Linked DNA regions of Pelodiscus sinensis. The protein of the gene in region 1 interacts with the protein of each later gene in a biochemical or structural test. Links are inferred from orthologs where the notes say so. Each region holds a gene or a part of one and is shown in the gene's direction. Other genes may lie near its edges. The genes, in order: CASP3 and PANX1.

What was found.
Region 2: of the proteins of CASP3 (region 1) and PANX1, one has a biochemical effect on the other in vitro, tested with the Homo sapiens proteins (2 studies listed by IntAct). The link is inferred for Pelodiscus sinensis from reciprocal best matches to the Homo sapiens genes CASP3 and PANX1.

What each region holds. Positions count from the first base shown.
Region 1 is NC_134715.1:76,148,174-76,157,573, reverse strand, and holds the start of CASP3 (caspase-3), read left to right. Parts: upstream 1-5,239; 5' UTR 5,240-5,364; exon of another isoform or gene 5,365-5,368; intron 5,369-9,400. UniProt on the Homo sapiens protein: Thiol protease that acts as a major effector caspase involved in the execution phase of apoptosis. Following cleavage and activation by initiator caspases (CASP8, CASP9 and/or CASP10), mediates execution of apoptosis by catalyzing cleavage of many proteins.
Region 2 is NC_134711.1:305,532,280-305,542,376, forward strand, and holds the start of PANX1 (pannexin-1), read left to right. Parts: upstream 1-5,992; 5' UTR 5,993-6,366; coding exon 6,367-6,547; intron 6,548-10,097. Other genes in the region: ferroxidase HEPHL1, read left to right, coding at 286-366, 450-652. UniProt on the Homo sapiens protein: Ion channel involved in a variety of physiological functions such as blood pressure regulation, apoptotic cell clearance and oogenesis.

The sequences.
Region 1 (9,400 bases):
TATGCAAATGAGTCCCTCATTAACATATTTTTTGCCAAGAAAACTCGTAGTGTAGAAATAGCCCTAGGGAAAGGGAATCAGTCTTCTCATGTATCTGCTGTGCATGACTTTGATTATGTAAAACATGTTTATTCCTAATTTTCTCCATAGTTGATTTCTCTAGCTCTGCTTCCAGTTCAAAACCCAGTTGTGGAGATCAGAAGATGGTTGCTAGAGAAAACTCATTGCCTGCCCTTGTGGCCAAATTTTTGCCTTGCGCAAAAGAGAAATCTGGGGGAGCACAGTTTCCAAAAGTAAGGAAGGAAAAATTCTAGGAATTAAAATGTAGTAGTAGAGAATTCATATTTTTAAAGCCACAAAATACAAAGTAGTTTGGTAACTTGATCTTTTGGATCTATGAAATTTTGGAACTTTTTTTAAAGTCAGGCCTCCTGATCAATTAATGGGAAGTTGAGGCAAACTATAATTAAGGGCTCGTCTGCGCTTAAGATGCTGTGATGGAACAGCTACACCACTGTACCACTTCAGGAGGACACTACCTACTAGGGGGATGTAAAATCCCATTTAATTGGTTAACTGATTAAAGGGCAGGTAAGGGGCCCACTCCAGTCCAGGGCTGCTCCAGCCTGCTAAAACAACCCCTGTAGACAGGGACTGCTCTGGACAATTGGAACACCCCTTGCTGTGGAAGGCAGGGAGCTACTACTGCCTTCACCAGTTAACCAGAACTATAAGTTTCATCCAATAAAGGCAAGGCTTACTGGTTAAGCATTCACATCCTTTCTACCTACTAGATCAGAGGTGGATAATAAGTAATCCACAGGACAGATGAGGTTCACCAGGGTTAGCCTCTGGAGGATTGCCAGATGTTTTTTTTTTACTCACACATCCACATGTTCAGTCACTTGCAGCTCCTATTGTCCACAGTTGACAGAAAGGGAGTGGGAGAAGAGCAGAGGGTGCTTAAAAGTAGCAGCGCTGTTTGAAGCCTAGGGCCAGAACCTGGGCTCCACACAGCACTGCCCCTTTGAAATGCTGCATGAAGCCTGGGGCCAGCTAGGGTGGCCCCAGGCTGCATGTGGCATTTCAAAGTGTGTGGGAGTCCCCAGCTGACCCTGAACTCCATACAGCACTTTCACCTTTGAAGTGTAGCAACAGCCCTAGAGGGATTTATTAGCACAGATATAACCAAAGAGGCTGATGCTAAAGAGACCTATAGAATAGAACATTGATCTGTTACTGAAAAGAGTTCTCAGCAACATATCCCTGAACCTCATTACACTGGAGAATCATGTGTTTAAAATATTAGTACTGGACTATGGGTGAATGCCACATTAGAGCTCACTACATCCAGCTCATCAATCCTATTTCACTTAGATTTATCCCCATGTCTTAACCTATGTCTTTACAGCCTGTTCCCGTGTTACAAATGGTCGATTTACGACCGTTTGTACTTACGACCAAACCTCCCATTAAGCAGTCATAAAGGCGGTCCCCAAGTTTCGAACAGCACGGTTGCATGTAAATGAATGGGGTCCAACTTATGAACACTTCACCTTATGACCAAGTGTTTGGTCTGTAACTTGTTGGTAAGTTGGGGGACCAGCTGTACTGACAATTGAGCACCAAAACTTTTGTCATTCAGTGGTCCTAACCTCTCCTCCCCCTCCCAAAAGACAAAAGTTTTGCTGCAGCAAGCGTCAGTGTGAACAGTATCAGCAGGAGAACTCTTCTGTCAACAATGTGAACACTGCTCATTGGGGGTACCTTGTCAGCAAAAGTGCCAACAATCAGTGACTATACTGCCTGACTTTTAGTGACAGAGCTATGCCACTGAAGGCTGTGTAGCATAGACAAAGCCTTACACTTGCATTTTATGGTAAAGAAAGAAACACACTGCCACCAGGGAAATTCTCATAGCTCCCAGAAGAACTGATTAATGCAGTGGATTGTGATAGGAGTGACTGGTCCACTGTGTGAAGCAGAAGGGGAAGACTAACTGTACTATGACGTTGGTTCTGGATATCCAACACGCCAGTCATCTGAAGAAGTGGGCTGTGCCCACGAAAGCTCATGATACCATCTACATGTTTTGTTAGTCTTTAAAGTGCTACTAGACTGTTTGTTGTTTTTTAAGTTTGTACCATGATAGTGTTGTAAAGTTAGATCCTGTCAGAATTTGCTACTGGTAACACAATGACATACCACATGGTCTGTCAGAATTTGCTAACCATCACTAAGGCTAAGATTTTATCATTGTTAATTTTACTAAAAGTGACAAGCAAAATACAAAAATTCAGAGAGCTGTGACACTCAAAAATAATCTGGGGGCAGGGCTAGGTAAGGGGGAGGAATGGAGTCCCAGGGGAGAAAAGGGGGACTGACAGGCCGAGAACCCTGCCATGAGCCTCATTTCACTCAAGCACCATATATTTAAAGATTTAGCCCCGACTCCAGCAGCTGCAGGACATGGATGAGTAGCCCAGGTAGCAGTCGTCCCCCTCCCCAAACCTCAGCCACAGCTAGGAACACGTGGAGGGGGGAGAGAGGTAAAAATTAGTGGGCTGCCACAGGTGCATACTACCCCCATTTTCCTAGTGCAGCCCTTGACAAATGCCAGACTGAAGGACATGGCCCAAGCTGCAGTCCCCAATTAGAGCCACAAGTTGGGCTGCAGGGTCCTGGTTCCAGCCAGCCCTAGCTGCAGGGCAGGGGCACACAATCCCATCTCCACTTCCTGTAGCCCTATAATTTATACAAATAAAGATGCTGTGGCTTTACTTGGACTGCCATGACCTCTTCAAATAAATTGAAGCCTCACTCATCATCCTTGTCCATTTGATTGTCAGGGTACCTATCAGTATTTGATTACTGGCCAGGAAATAAGGATAGCAAGTTCTGTTAGATGACTGTCACAATTTTTCTACCCTTTCCCCTCTTTCTCCGTTCTTGTCCTCAGTAGTAACTTTAACAGAGGTAGAGATCCCTGTCAGATATCCCACTTACCTTTCTGCCTCCTCTAGACCTTTAGATGGCAGTTTATCCTCCAGTACTCACAATAGCTACTAGAAACGGTGCAGTAGCATAGCTGCATTTGTAAGAAAACACGAGGCAGGTTTACAAGACCGTGCCATTGTTTACATGGAGTCTCAGATTTGAATTCCAGTATTTATCAACTTGCCATACAACTGCCATTAACTGGGTTCAATGTCACTGTATTAAATGATTGAAGGATTAAGTAGGCACATATTGGCAGAGTTGTCACTGATATATGAAGAGAGAGATACATGTGTACATTTAGAGATCAATCATGCTTTGATTACCAAATTCTATAGGCTGTCAATAAAGATAGCAAGAAGAGAACCTTGTGTATGGGGGCTATTAGCAGGCTGCTGGCATAGAATACAGTAACCTCCAGAACTTAGTGAGGAATGGTGAAGGTCATGTCTCAAGAAACTCACAAGGAAGGGAAAAGAGGCGGTGACATTTTCAAGTCAGGGTGGTTAGTATGGAATAGGCTTAGTTTTTAATTTTACACCAAGGCTGCGTCTAGACTGGCAAGTTTTTCCACAAAAGCAGCCACTTTTGCGCAAAAGCTTGCCAGTTGGCTACACTGGCTTCTTGATTTTGCGCAAAAACACTGACGTTCTACTGTCTGAAATCAGTGCTTCTTGCGCAAATGCTTTGACGTTCCCGTTCAGGCAAAAGCCCTTTTCCGGAAATGTTTTTGTGCATGAGGGCCAGTGTAGACAGCTAAAAACTGTTTTGCGCAAAAAAGCCCCGTTGGCAAAAATGGCGATCGGGGCTTTCTTGCGCAAAACCGTGTCTAGATTGGCACGGACGCTTTTCCACAGAAAGTGCTTTTGCGGAAAAGCGTCCGTGCCAATTTAGATGCTCTTTTCCGCAAATGCTTTTAATGGAAAAACTTTTCCGTTAAAAGCATTTGCGGAAAATCATGCCAGTCTAGACGTAGCCCAGATGTAGGTACCTTCTGTTTGCTATATACCCAGACCACTGTTCCCTCTAAGCCACTGGTGGGCAACCTCCAGCACAGATGTGATAAATTGAGGTTATATGGGTAGCCTACAAGACATTTTGTTTACCACCGTTCATGCAGAGGATTGCTAGATGCTGCTAGCTTCCATTCACAGTGTTTTTTCCTACCGGTATTACTAATGTGACACAGGAAGTGAGGTGTGTGCTCATTTCACTCAACATTGACCGTAAAAACAGTGTGGTCCATCTGCATTCAAAGTGCTGCTGTGATTCAAACAGTACCTGCTGCAAATTCTAGGTATGCAAGCGGAGTTGGCAAAACTACCCTAACCCAGGAGACAGTGTTTGTAACAACCTTATGGCCCAGTAAGATGAAGGAGGGCTACACACACGATGCATTCACTAGCCTAGGTGAGTCTGTCTCCATTGCTGTGCTAAGCCATGCACTCAGGTGGCCACCCAGGAGAAATTCAAATATCACCCAGCTAATTAGCAGAGTGCCCACAGCTGACAGCATGTGCTTCTTCTGGTGGCACTCATCTGCACATGCCTCTGTATAGATAACAAAAAGTTTATTCTGTAGACAAGTGGGAAAAGTGAAGGGAACATTGCCTCTGACCTAAATCCTAGTTTCACAAGAGCAAAAACAGATGTAGTCCACTGTAAGTGTGGTTTCCAGGGAACAGGGTACTACTGAGGCCATCAGAGCACCAACTAAAATAAATTTTCTGAGCTGCTATTAAGCTGTGCGTGTTTCCCTTGGGTAAACTGACAAGGAATTAATGTCACGTCAAAGATAGGTTTGATACTCCTGGAGAGCCTTCAGAGGACGGGTGTGAAATATTTCACTAAAGCCAGTCTCCTCCCCTGGCAGCGCAGCAATTCAACTTTGAAAATAAAAAGCTGCAGAGCCTACTCTGCAGCGTGGAGAGCACAGCTGGCGGGAGGCGGCGCAGGGCTTCCCTTTCTCTACCCCCCCCCCCCAACCCAACCCCAACAGCCCGCGCTCTGCGCGGGGTCACTTCCGCGGCTCCGGTCTGGCCACTTGTCTCCCCCTTTCATAGCCCCACCCCGGCTCTGATTTCGGCGCCTATTTCCCTCCCCACCCGCACAAGGGCTGCCCGCCTCGCCCTGCGACCAGCCCCCGCTCCCCCTTCACAGCGCGAGCCCGACTCACCTGGGGGTGCGGGGAGAGACACGCTCGCCAGCTCAGCGCGCCCTGGCCGCCCTTTGAAACAGCCGCCGCCCCGCGCCCCCTCCCCCAGCTGGGCGGGGCCGGGGCGGAGCTGAGCGCGCAGTTGAGTCCAACCGACACCCGCCCGCAGCGCGCGTGCGTCTGGATCCGAGGGGAAGCGGCAGCCGGCGGAGGCAGGTCGGCGGCCGTGTGGGGCGCGGGGCGGCGGGCAGCGATCGAGCGGGGGGGTCCCCGTGCCGGGGGCGGGCGCGTTGCCGGAGCCTGGCTGCTCGCATGGCGGCGCGGCCCCGCTTGGCCCGGGCAGTTCCTGCCCCGCCGCCTTGGGGCGAACAAAGAGCAGGGGCGGCGCCGCTCCCCAGGGCGGGCTCGGAGCGAGCCCGGGACTCCGCGGCCCGCTCAGAAAAGGGGCCTCGGCTCGTCCTCGCCGCCTCGCCCCCGTGCGTGGGAGCAATAGACAATCCGGGGTCACTGCCCCGAGGCATCTGCCCCCCCTCTCCTCGCGCGCGCCTTTCCCCAGCCCCCCGCCCCCGCCCCCCCCCCCGCCGCGGAAATGCGGCCGCTTCTGGGGTGCGAAGTGTCCTGTGCCTGTGCAGAGCGAGAGGATGCGCTAACGGGGTGCGCTTGGGCCAGTCACCTCCCGCGAAAAAATTAGTCAGTTATTTCTGTGCGAGGCACTAGCCCGGGAGCTCCTTTCAGTTTAGCTTATTTCATGTGGGCTGGTTCTGAAATAATTCCAGGAAATTTCCAAATGTAGACAAGCCCGGACCCATACTGCATTACAGTGTCAAAGATGAGAGTAAGGAACAGTAAAAGTTAATATATGGATGTAATAGGAATTAAAGAATATAATGTTTATAATATAATGCAAGAGGCTTTCCTTTTCCTCTTATCTGCAACTAGAGTCACAGGCTGTGTCTAGACTGGCAAGTTTTTCCAGCAACTTGCCAGCTGTCTACACTGGCCACTTGAATTTCCGCAAGAACACTGACGATCTCATATAAGAAAACAGTGCTTCTTGCGGAAATACTATGCTGCTCCTGTTTGGGCAAAAGTCCTTTTGTGCAAAAGGGCCAGTGTAGACAGCTGAGATTAGTTTTGCACAGAAAAGCCCTGATTGTGAAAATGGCGATTGGGGCTTTTTTGCGCAAAAGCACGTCTAGATTGGCACGGACGCTTTTCCGCAAAAAGTGCTTTAGCAGAAAAGCGTCCGTGCCAATCTAGACGCTCTTTTCCACAAATGCTTTTAATGGAAAACTTTTCCGTTAAAAGCATTTGCGGAAAATCATGCCAGTCTAGACGTAGCCACAGTGTTTCTCAACCTTTTTTTATAAAATACCCCCCTTTAAAAATATATATAAGTACCCCCAGTACCTACAGTTTTCAGAGACACACGCTTTTTTTCTACAATTGTAACATATTTGTTTAAACAACTTAATCGTAGCCAGGCGGGTGATTAAATTTTTGATTGTAAAAAGTACAAAAATAATAAAATGCTGTAAAACTTAAAACAAAAATTCATTTTTCTCCAAATTTCAGTTGTGTTGATGTACCCCCCAGACTTCTCTCCCACTGAAGGTACTCATACTGGTTGAGAAACACTGGACTAGTCCAACCGTTTTCAGTTTTCTAGTGTTCGTTTCTGTCTTTCCTATTCCTTCACAGTGCTGTAGGAAAATGTTGAAATCTAAGTGACTAATTGAATTGACTTTAAGGTTTTGTTTGGAAATAGTAATGATAAATTAAACTAAAGGTCTAATATTTCTGGTGTTTTACTGTCCACATATAGCAGTGGTTTTCAAACTTTTTGGCTTGTGGCCCACTTAGGTCAATGCAAACCTTTCCATGGATCACCAATTGCTAATGGAAACTCGTTAATTACACACAAGTCATTTTGCTAGTGCTGAAGCTAGGGAGAATTGTTTAATTTAACCAGTAAGAAAGGAAATATTAATTTAAATTATTAAACAGATTAAGCACTTGAACTTTATCATGGTAGTTTACCAAACGTCATTTTAAATAAAGTTAAATATTAATTTATGTCCAACACAAAAGGTTCCCATGTTTACTTTATGGCAGGGGTAGGAAACCTTTTTTGTATTGATTGTCACCGGCCCACAGAAAAATCAGTTGGGGACCACACAAGTGAGTAGAAAAAAAAACCCTCAAAAAATCCCCCAACCCTCACTGATGTGGCCCCCAACTGAGATACTTCATTCCTCTGGTGCTCCAGCCCCATTGGGGAAGGGGGAGGGCCAGGGAGGACTGAATGTTCAGTGCTTCCCAGAGACCAGATTTGCTCTTTTGAGGTTCCAGAGTTAGTGGATTTTGTGGACCCTCCCCCCAGGCTCTGGGGTTGGGCCAAAAAATGAGGGGTTCAGTGTATGGGACAGCTGCCAGTGAGAGGAATTGGGGGTGTAGGATCTGGGTGGGAGGTGAGGTGCAGGAGGTGGTGAGGGTTTGAGGTCTGGATGGTAGGTAGTGTGCAGGAGCAGGCTTGGGAATAGGGTGTCTAGCCAGGGGTTGGGAGCAAGTGCAAGGGAAGATGCATTGTGTGGCCTACAGAAGTTAAAATTAGATTAATGAACTAATCCAGGGGTGGCCAACCCGTGGTTCTTCAAAGGAAAAATTACTGTTCCTGCACACGCAGCTCTTAAAGAGGCAGCATTTTTGTTTGGTTGGTTTGTGGGTTTTTTGTTTTTTGTTGGTTTTTTTGCTCAACTTTCCGGCCGACGGAAGCTTGGGTCACACATGGCTGGTAAAGAGGCAGCTTTTTTTGTTTGTTTGTTTGTTTGTTTTGCTCAGCAACTTCTTTCCCTTTGCTCTTTCCATTGTATCCACCACTGTTTTGGCTCTTTGTCTGTAATGGGGTTGGCCACCCTGAACTAATCAATTACTCAATTGGATTTCCATCAACTATTCGATTAGTTGATAAGGGCACCTCTGCCATTGAACTGTAGCAAGAATCCTGCCTTTTGTTACAGTTCAAAAGTGAAAACCCCACAGAGCTCTTGTATGTTTCAAAAGTAGAAGCCCCACAGGGAGCCTGGAGCCAACAAGCTCCTCTCCCCTCTCTCTACTAACATATAGTAATACTAAATTACAGTGTAGGACAGAAAACTGGCTGCAGCATTTACCCACTTTTTTTTTTTAGAATCTTTAATGAAAAACGGTACCTCAACTCATTTTTCCAGAGCAGGAAGGTGGGGCATTGGAGGTTTAGGAAAGCCTATCTTGATACACACAAGTAGCCATGTATCCCTCCTTGAAATTAGAGTCAGTCTGTTTAGGTAGGTCTGCCCACATGTAACAGAGTGTGGAATTAGCACTTTAAAAGGAAAAGGTTAGTATTTGCTCGGTCACTGACATAGTACAAATAATAATAATGTGCTTCAGAGGAGTAGCCAAGTTAGTCCATAACAGGAAAAACTTAAGCAACAAAGTCTAGTAGCACTTTAAAGACTAACAAAACATGTAGATGGTATCATGAGCTTTCGTGGGCACAACCCACTTCTTCAGGTGACCAGAGTGTTGCCCCCAAATCCCGCTTTGCCTCCTGCATTTATAATAGTGTTAAATATTTTTAAACGTGTTTTTAATTTATAAGAATGGTTGAAGTCAGAGGCTTGGTGTGTGGAAGGAGTCACCAGTACAAAAGTTTGAGAACCACTCTTTCTCCTACTAGGAAGAGTGAGAATGATATTTCTGCCAGACTGCTGTCACTGGACTCTGCCTTGTGATCCAATAGGTATCTGAGAAATTTGAACTACTCCTCACTCTAAGAGCCTCTACCAGATGCTCAGATACTATGGTAATAAGCAGGGCATGACAAACGGTGGCGAAACCTACTCGCCAGGCAAGACCTGCATTGCACATGCGCGTGCTGCTGGTGAATGGAGGCGGCCGGCTGAAATTTACTCGCTATGGGCGAGTAGATTCAGTGATTTGTCGAGCCCTGATAATAAGTATAGTATAAGACTCTATGTAGTAGATAAGAGGTTATCTACTATTCTAATCAGCCTCCAGGCTTGATTTTATTATAGCTGCTTCTCAAGTTGCAGTATGAAATTGACATAATTCTTGATAGTTTTACTACAGCCCAATGGATTAGAGTAGCATCAAGGAAATTGACTGATTGTATTAACTTCACTTTTGTGACTGGTAAAATTATTAACTTAGAGTCCAACTGTATAAACTCCATTAACTTCAGTA
Region 2 (10,097 bases), on another chromosome or scaffold:
GTAAGGTTAAACTGAAATTATCCTTCATGGTTCACTGTGAATCTGTTCTGTAATTTGCACTTATTCTGGGTTTGAAACTTCTATTGATATGAGTGAAAGCATGCAGAACTAATGCGACAGAGATCTCTGTTGTTTATAAGAAAGGGAAATTTTGCCCTTAATCTACTGGCAATCTCTGCACATTACCCAGGTAGAATAATTGATGTATTCACTGTTTTCTCAGATTATGAAATCTGCTTCTTTGTACAGTTTTCAGCCTAAGTAAGCTTTAATTGTTTTACACAGACAACACAGTTCCTTTAAAAGGAGGAGTAACCGCTACAGCATATGACACAATTACTGTAAAACACAAGGCTCCTGTAAAGGGTATGGATCTCTTTTATTTAAATAATATAAACTTCAGCAGGTGGATGTATGGATTACTTACATGGTACTTTTTCTTTTGGCAGATGGTGATCAAAAAGGAATCAACTTCTTAGGCAAAACTCTGGGTGCAAGAGAAGCAAACTCAGTGCTCATAGCACTTTTTTCCATTGGCCTTGTCCTTCTGATCGCAATATTAATCTTCATCATCCTCATCACTTTCCAGAGAAAAAGGGTATATTACAGGACTGTGCAACCTAAGTGTGCACTCCCAACCGATTCCCTATAAATCTGTATTTTGAGGACCATTTATAGAGCTGTGTTGGATTTCATTGTATATTGTTGGTATAAATAAGGCAAGATACATGTTTGTGAGAGCCCAATCCTGCAGCCATGAAGCCACGTATGACATGGGCTGCATGTTTAAGCCCTGGTGACCATATCCTGCTTGTCTGTGCAGGCTGATTCTACTCTATGGAAGTCAGTGTGAGTTGAATTCAATGGGAGCCATCTCAGACGTCTATTCAAATGGTCCCACTGATGCCAATGTGACTGCTCACTTGAGTTAGGCAAGCAAGATTTGACTCTGACATATGAAAAAATGTATTAGGCTTCTGATTCTTTTGATGCTGTAAAATATAGTCAATCAATATTATTTTGAATTTGACTTGGATTGTGACTGGAGCCATGTGAAACTTAGCAGGGGATTGTGCAAGCCTGTTCTCCTGTTTCAGTTCATGTTTAATTATGATGGTGATTCTTGTTCAAATAAACAGTAAAACATATTGAGAAACCTGATCAAACTTACAACAAAGCCCAGGCTTTTCTTTTTATGCAAACTCGTATTGGCCGTAGATTCCCTCAAAAGATTGACAAGCCTCAGTGAACATGTTGACCCAGATGGATTAACTTTCTAGGGCTCACAAGGCTTCCCCTGGAGTTAATATGAACAGGAAGTGGGACCTGATCGTTGAAGGCAATGTAAAAACTCTTATTGGCTTCAGTGACTTTGGATCAGGTCATGACCCTGATTCTTAATGAACCCAAAACAAGTAACAAGAGTTTTGTGTGGTTTCTGTTTCACACAGCTCTAATGGTGAATCACTTTCAAATAAGTATACAAACATATTGGCTTTAAAGAGATTTTAACAGAATCTTGTGCTTAAAAAGTAATACACAGGACCAAATTATGCCCTCGAGTTCAGTACATCATCTTAGTGTTTCCAGTGAGTGCAATGTTTGCATGGGTGTTTATGAAGGCAAAATTTGGCCCATAATCCCTGTGATACAATAGTTATGTAATGGGATCTCCATTGGGTAATGCTATATTAAGCTATTTTCAGTGTGCCAGATTTTGAAAGTGCTTGTTCAAATCTAGAACATTTGAGTCATTGCAGCTACCCCCTAATGACAAAAACAGAATCTGGCCCACTGAACCTATCAAAGGTTAAGAGGGCTTTTTCTTTTCCCATTAAGTAAGATTGCTGTGTTTTGGGGTTGGTGGCCTTGGGTTACTAAAAAGAAAGTAGTCTGGTTTTGTAACTATTGCTTATTGTGGGCTTGATTCTGTGATGCTTACTTACACTTGTAGTAGCTTAATCCCTGATTTTTCAATGAGACTATTCAGGAAGTCAAGTACTTAATGTAAGAGTGATAGAATAAGGCAGGTCTAATATATAATGATACCCATGGGTGACTGGTGAGGGAGGACCTGGAGAGCCACCATCCACATGACCGGCCCCTCAGACCATGTGACAACCTGGGACAACCTCACTTCCATCCCAAGCCCCACCTTTCCCTGCGCCTGCTCTGCCTGCTTCTCATACCTGCCCTGCCTCTATGCAGCCTGAGATACTATGGGGGGGTCCCCCCTCACTCACTGGCAGAGGCTGGGGAAGTGGACTAATGTGGCCCCAGCTCGTTGTGCTCCCCAGGCCGCATCACTCCATTTCCTGCCAGCGAGTGCAGAGACAGTCCCACCTCTCCCCCAAGAAACACAGCCAGCGGAGCAGTGAAAGCTGCGGCTGCATTTTTCCACTTTCATCGCCACTGCTGGTGGTGAGTGTGGGGGGGGAGGGGAAGACCCCTGCTACTGATGTGAGCCTCCCCCCCCTTCTCATATTCTTGGACACCCAAGGAATCTGTCCCCGGTGGCTGCTTGCTGACCCCTTGCAACTCCTGCCCATGGCTTTAGGAATGCGCATGCCCCTTTGTGCTCTCTGTGCAATGCCCTGGTGATACTTGAATGTTTACAGCTCATTTCTGAATGAGCTATTGTTTATTCCTGCCACACAGATGTTCATGTCACCTACAACATTGGTGGATGAACTACAGAACTAAAGCAACCTTTCAGTTATGAATAGTTTATCTGAGTTTTTTTTACAATGTAAATTCAAGTTGGTGCACAATGTCATTTTTTTTCTCTTCTGTATTTAAAAATATGCTGCATCCTTGTAGGGAACTTTACTGACAATCACTTTGAATGTAGGTTAGTGGTGTTCTGGATTAATGCCCAAATCACCAAGGCTACGTCTACACTGGCCCCTCTTCCGGAAGGGGCATGTAAATTTCACGAGTCGTCGTAGGGAAATCCGCGGGGGATTTAAATATCCCCCGCGGCATTTAAATAAAAATGTCCGCCGCTTTTTTCCGGCTTTTAAAAAAGCCGGAAAAGAGCGTCTAGACTGGCCCCGATCCTCCGGAAAAAGTGCCCTTTTCCGGAGGCTCTTATTCCTACTTCAAAGTACTTTGAAGTAGGAATAAGAGCCTCCGGAAAAGGGCACTTTTTCCGGAGGATCGGGGCCAGTCTAGACGCTCTTTTCCGGCTTTTTTAAAAGCCGGAAAAAAGCGGCGGACATTTTTATTTAAATGCCGCGGGGGATATTTAAATCCCCCGCGGATTTCCCTACGACGACTCGTGAAATTTACATGCCCCTTCCGGAAGAGGGGCCAGTGTAGACGTAGCCCAACAGATAAAAGGTGTTAAAACAAAATCCTTGAGGTGCAGCTGTTTCTTGTTGTTTCTTTGGTCCTTTTGTTTCCTTCCAGTTTTTAAAAAAGCAAACAAAAATTCTAGATAAAAGGCCTGATCTTGCAACCTTTACTCATTTAAAATATTCTTTGAGAACATCAACTTGTGTGAGCTAGAGTGACAGGACTGGGCTCAAAATTAGGGTAGCAATTACATTGTACCACAAGCACTCCTTCAATCATTACTTTTAAAGCTTCCTTTATACTGGCTAAGCGTAATACCATTCGGGGGAACCACAGACATTCTAAAGACTAGTTTCTTTCCAACATGTAACCCACTAGCATTGAGGTCTGCTGTTCTTTGTTAAATACTGTCCAGAATGCTTGCATACCATATACAAAGAGAGTTACAGCTTTCACCCATGATGCAACATAAATAAAGCAATATTGTTTAAGTATTTCCATATGTGTTTGATGTTTATAACTGAATCATAAAACATTTAAATAAGATTTAATGCAGTGATTCTCAAAGAGTTACATGTTTATTATTACATGTGGATTGTGAATACATGCTCAAAAAAGAGAGCAGTTGCTATAGAATATATAACTTAAATCTACTGTTTTAGAAAGTTACACTACCTTTCCTCGGCAATGTAGTGTATTTACTTTAAAAAGTACTGTAAATGTATAATGCAGCAATCATTCCTAAATAAAATATATTGTTGTATTATCACTACTTTAAGGAGATGGGACTTTTAGGATTGTAGTATTGTGCTTGCAGGTTTGTAGTCTTGAGACTAAACAGGTGGAACTGAGACAACATTAGAGGGCTTGATTGTTCAGCAGCTGAAGAGCGAATTAAACCACAGACCAATCAGAACACTGAGATCAGCAAAAAGAAAGTAATTTATAATTCACTGCTGTGAAAAGTGATATTGACAAAATTATTTCATACCACTCCCATATTAAGCAGTAATTATTTATAAAATAAACTTTCTGCTTATAAGAACAATCTGCTATATATTTGAAAGAGTTTGACCACCAAATTTGGTATACAGATTCCTCTTACTAGAACATAAAGCAAGGTGGGGGTTTGGTTGTGCCAAGAAAATGGGATGTGCCTGGAATGGGATTGCTTCTCAGAAAACCATACAAAAAAAGTCACCAGGCAGGTTAAAGGGGCTGGCTTCGGGAGCCCCCTTCCACTCCTTATCTGGGACTGCTCCAGCTCCAATCCTCCCACTTCTGAAGTGCCCTTTAGGGAGAGTGGGGGGAGACATTGTTACTTTGTACTTCCCAACCTTCCTCTCTGTTTAGTTGTTTTATCTTACCAGATGCTCAGAGTATAAACTTTTTGTAGCAGAATCTGTATTTTATTACATGTGTACTGCATCTAACAATATGGGACTGACTGCTCCCATTTTCTAGAGGAGCTTTGTGAAATAGGATAATATTCTTACTTCAGGTGCAAATCCCAAATAAGCTTTCCAGGACAGCATATTTCCATTTTAGTCTGAACATCAGGAAAATGTCTATGCTAAGGTCTTGACAGACTGTAGACTAATCTTGCTAGAAAGAAGCCCTTCTGATCAAATCATGTACAGTTGAACTGGAGAATATTTACAAACAAAAGCAGGGGCACTGAGGCAGACATCATCCATGCCTTCTACTAGATGCTAAAATCCAACAGACAAAAAAGGTAGGTTAACTGTCTTGTTAGAATCATATATGGAATTTCAGCTGAAGTGAATGAGGATTCTGCATGACAGAGCATTTGAAATACTCATCATTTTCATCATTAATTTAATCATGAAAGTAGGTTACCCCTTTAAAAATCAATGAACCAGTAACACATCAATCTGGTTCCACTGGTTCTGGGCTTTCTGGTGGTGGAGAAAGCCGCAGTTTATCCCATAAACAGAAGGGAATGGAGGTCACTAGACTCAATCCAAAACAAAAATTCCCACAGAAAGTGAACCTTTCAGAGACCAGATGGTTTAGACAGAGATTTTCTTGTCTCTCCCTGTAGAAATAAGCCATTAGCATTCAATCAGACAGTTGCCATTGCACACACTTTCTATATGGAGTATTACAGGCTGCAGAGCAGCCAGCTAGCCATAATAATACATGTTGCAACTTGTAAGAAGCACTGGGAGTAAACCAGGGCTTAATTTGTAATGAAAGAGGTGCTGGGGCTCAAGCAATGTTTACATTTATAACTGACGCAGCAAGCCCAGAGGTACAAGGGCTATGAACTGCCAAGCCTAAAGGTGCTAGGGCACAGCCTTGGCAAAAAGTAAGTACTGGAATAATCTCTGATGTAACTCCAGTGCTTTGGCTTAAATTCAGTGGGGGCTGCCACAATTTATATGCAAAGGATTAACCTGCCCACAGACTTCTAATCTCCCCGCGAGAGCTTTGGCTTGTTTCTCTGCTCGCCCTGCGGCAAGCCAGGCGTAACGCCGCTGAAATCAGGCGCGACGCTGGTTTAAAACCATCGCGGCTGGAGGCCCAGGCTCTTTGGCCGCTGGTACCGTTCCTTTCTGCATGCACAACTGTTCTCCAGTGGATGTGCCACGCAGAGACCCTGCTCCCCCAAACCACAACGCGGCAGCTCCACAAGGTAGCTCGGGAGGAGAAATGGGACCGGGGGCACCTCATCTCACCCCAGTTCTTGCCTGAGGGAGGGCCCGCGGGGCTGTGGTGAGACATGGATCGGACACTCCCGCGTGGGCCCAATCCTGCCAGCCCCTCCCCATGCTCTGCGGGCACAACCAGGCGCTCTGACCGCACGCCCGGGCAGAGCGAGGGCAGCAGCCCGCCCGTTGCCGCGCGCATGCTCACTACAGCCCGAGTAGCGAACGCCGCGAGGCCGTTGCTGGCCCGAGGCCCCGGGGCGGGAGGAGGCGCCTGGGCGAGGTGAGGGCGACGCGAGCCGGACAAAGGGCGGGAGGCGCGAGCAGGAAGCGAAAGGGAAGGAGGCCGGCGCGCCTAGGCCCGGCCGCGGGGTGCTGAGGGCGCCCCCGGCCCGCCATGGCCATCGCCCACATCGCCACCGAGTACGTCTTCTCCGACTTCCTGCTGAAGGAGCCCGCCGAGCCCAAGTACAAGGGGCTGCGGCTGGAGCTGGCGCTGGACAAGCTGGTCACCTGCGCGGCCGTGGGGCTGCCGCTGCTGCTCATCTCGCTGGCCTTCGCGCAGGAGATCTCCACAGGTACCCGCCCCGCCCCGCCTCGCCTGCGGGCTCCAGCCGGGCTCGGCCCCTGCCCCTGGGGGCGCTCTGACAGCTCTCGGTGTCTGGTCCTAGCGCGCCGGGGTGCAGCCCCGAGCCTCGCCCTGCTCCCTGCCTGCCGCAGGTCGGGCTGCATCGGCGCGCAGGGGAGCGTCACACGGGTCAGCAGAGAATCTGACCTGGCCCCGGGCCGGACAAGAGTGGGGCTAGGAGCCGCGAGTGGGCTTTAGGAAATGATGCTGTGCAGCCAGTTGGCTTTCCTGCCCCGCTGGCGATGCGGAACCAGTCACCGTTCAGAACCGGGTTGAATTCATACACATTGCATCACATTGACTTGAATTTTAACATGCAGGCGAGCAGAGAGATGGTTCGAGTAAACGTGCTGCATCCAATTAAAATATCCTCCCTAAGGGAAGAAGAGGAAGAGAAAACTAGATAGCACATCTATGTAGAGACCGGAGCAGATTCTGTATTACAGATTGCAGGCTAAATGGGACAGAGCTGTCAGACTGATCAGGGCGCATGGGAGAGGAATGTATCTGAATAATTAAAATTATAGTTCTGCTTTGCTGTGAATAGAGTGGCTGGTTACAGATGAACTGCGCTTAGGGCTTAAGAAAAGCTGATAGAAATGTCTTTTTTTTTTTAAGGAACTGAGTCTTCTTTTGTGTGTGACTTATCAGCCTTCGCATTGTGTCTTTACAATATTCAGTGTTCCACTTCCAGACCAGTGGTTCCCAAACTTTTCGGCATTATGCCCCCTTTTTGATTTTTGAGAAACCCTCGCGCCCTCCCCCCCTCCAAAAAAATAACATCAAAATTTGGAGTGGGATTGACGAGGGTGTGTGAGACTAGGTCACCTGGCGCTACCCCTGGAATTTCTTCATGCCCCCCAGTTTGGGAACCTATGTCCTAGACTGATACATTTTTGCTCTAAAAAAATGACAAAATCATTGTGGTAGATAATCAGGTCCCAGTATGGTCAGAAGAGGTACAGTGTTGCAATTCTGGGATAAATATATAGGGGGTATCTCAATTAGAAGCAGAGAGATTATTATACAGGTTGGACCTCTCTAGTCTGGCACCCTTGGGACCTGACCGTCCCGAATGAGGGAATTTGCCAGAGCAGGGAAGGTTTCCTCTTATCAGCCCCTCAGCCCACTAACCCTCCCTGCTGTCCCAGCCATTGTCCCTGCTGAGTTGCAGTGACCCAGCTCTCTTGCCAAGCTCCATTACCAGAACTGCTGCAGCCCTGGACATTAGGGCAGGCCCTAGCCACTGGAGCAGTCCTCAACTTTGGCTACTGGGGTGATTTCACTGCCAGGATGGTCAGGTCCCAGCCCTGCTGCTGCAAGCCACTCCCATCCCTGGTCTCCCAGCCTAACAGGGCTCCCAGCTGCCGGCCTTCCTGCCACAGGAATCCCAGCCGGGAATTTCCTGGTCCCAGTTTTTGGAGGTCCAACCTGTACCTCTCTGTTTGGCACTGGTACTAGCACTGCTGGAATACAATACTCAGGTCAGCTGTCCACACTTCAGGAAGGTTATTGATAAACTGGAGAGTGATCAGAGAAGATCCACACAAAATTTTAAATAATTAGGAAACATATCTTATAATGATAGACTTAAAAAGCTCAATCTAGTTGCTGGCCTTCCAATCTATGAATCAGGTACATGCAATATGTTACAAAATTCTCATTGAATTCTGTTGGAATTTCATGCATTTAATGACACGTAAAGATGGCCCATAATTTATACACTGGCAGAGGCTTATAAAACAAAGCTTTATTACACAGCTAAAAAAGAGTGATTATATAATATTTGTATTTATCTCAGATACTTGGATATGTGTCCGTATTGGAGACAGTAGGTGACAATCTAGATAAGTTGCTATCTGCTCTTTCACTTTCAACTTCATTTAACCACTAATATCTCATTGTGGTCACACTTGAAAAAATAATGTAAATTTGATTTACAGCTTTATTAATGCTTTCAGTTGGATTTCAGTAAACTGTCATGGGTATTTTCTTGACCTTCATTACTGTGGTATCTATGGGTCTCGCTATCATTAAATTTTTCTTCAAGGGATCATTCATGTCAATTCCAATCAGATGTGTGCTTGCCCACATGCACAGTAAGGATGTAAGTGACTAGTAGCAACTATCAGAGACAGTGGAAGGGGAAGGGAGCAGGAGCCAGTGTTGAGGAGAGCCGGCTCCCCCAGCACTGTCTCTCCAGTGGGCAGCGGAGGTAGAGGCACAGTGGGAAACAGCACAAGCGGGGAATGAAGCAGTCTCCACTTGCGCCTCTTCTGCTGCAATTCTGCTTTTGAAATGTACAAGAATTCCACTGGGGCTCTTGTACATTTCGAAAGTTTAGGCATGGCAGGGAGTACCTGGTTAGTCCCCTGTTGGCTCCGCACTCCCTGTGGGGCTTCCACTTTTGAACTGTAGCAAGGCGCCCTTATAAACTAATCGAATAGTCAATGGGATTTCCATTGACTATTGTGACGACGCGTTGGGGTACCCCCGACTTCTGCACCCCCGTAATGGCACGAACGGACTCCACCAGCCAGTAGAATAGAGGGAGTTTATTGCTTCTCCAGGATACAGCACAGATGTAATTTGGTTACAGGGCAGGCCTAGGATGCCTCAGCCCCCCTTGAGATGGGGGATAGTGGGCCCCTAAATTCCAGCCCCCTTCCCTAGGCTGTCTCCTCCATGATCCCAGACAGAAAACTAACTGTCTTCCAGCCCTGCCCCCCCAGCCAGGGGCAGCATTCCACCTTCCCTTGTTTCTCCCCATGGGGGGTAGCTGGTCAGACAGGTTTGGAGCCCCCTTTGCATAATGACTCACCTCCTGCCCTGCTGGGTCGTGGTTCGGACAGCAGAGGTCGCCCCCTGCCCAGCATAGCAACGAACAAGGCACCCCCACTACGTCACAACTATTCAATTATTTAATCTAAATTTAACACCCCTAGTGCACAGAAGCTGGAACGTTTTTCCCTACGAGAGCCATAGGATTGGTTTTCATGGCGCCGTGCTGACCTGTTGCCCTTTCAGTTCCTTCTTACTGTCAGTGATATAATAGCTGGAACTTCCCTCTGTCTTGCTCTGGCAAGAGACTTAGCAGTTTGACTTCTTCTGTTTTCTCAGTTAGTATAGTAGTTCATAGTTGATTAGTTATACATTTCTATTTTGAAGACTTCCCCCCCTCCTCTTCTTCCTTGCTGTTCCCAGGGCATACTGTGATCTCTGGGTTTCAAGATCTGCAAGGACTGAGCAAAGCACATGCCAAAGAGTGACCCTTACACATACCATTTACAGTGTCTGGGCAAAGGTCATCAAAAAGACCACTTGAAAATCTGTTGGAAATTCTGACCAAGTGCTCTAAAAGAAAAGGAACAGCAGCTAACGAGCCTCCTGATGGAGACAGCTCTCCCACCTCAGAGTCCATAAGGCACATCTTTGGTGCATAGTGTGCCAATGCCCTCTTCAAGGAACCATGTGCTGAAAAAAGTCACTTAAAGAGCCTT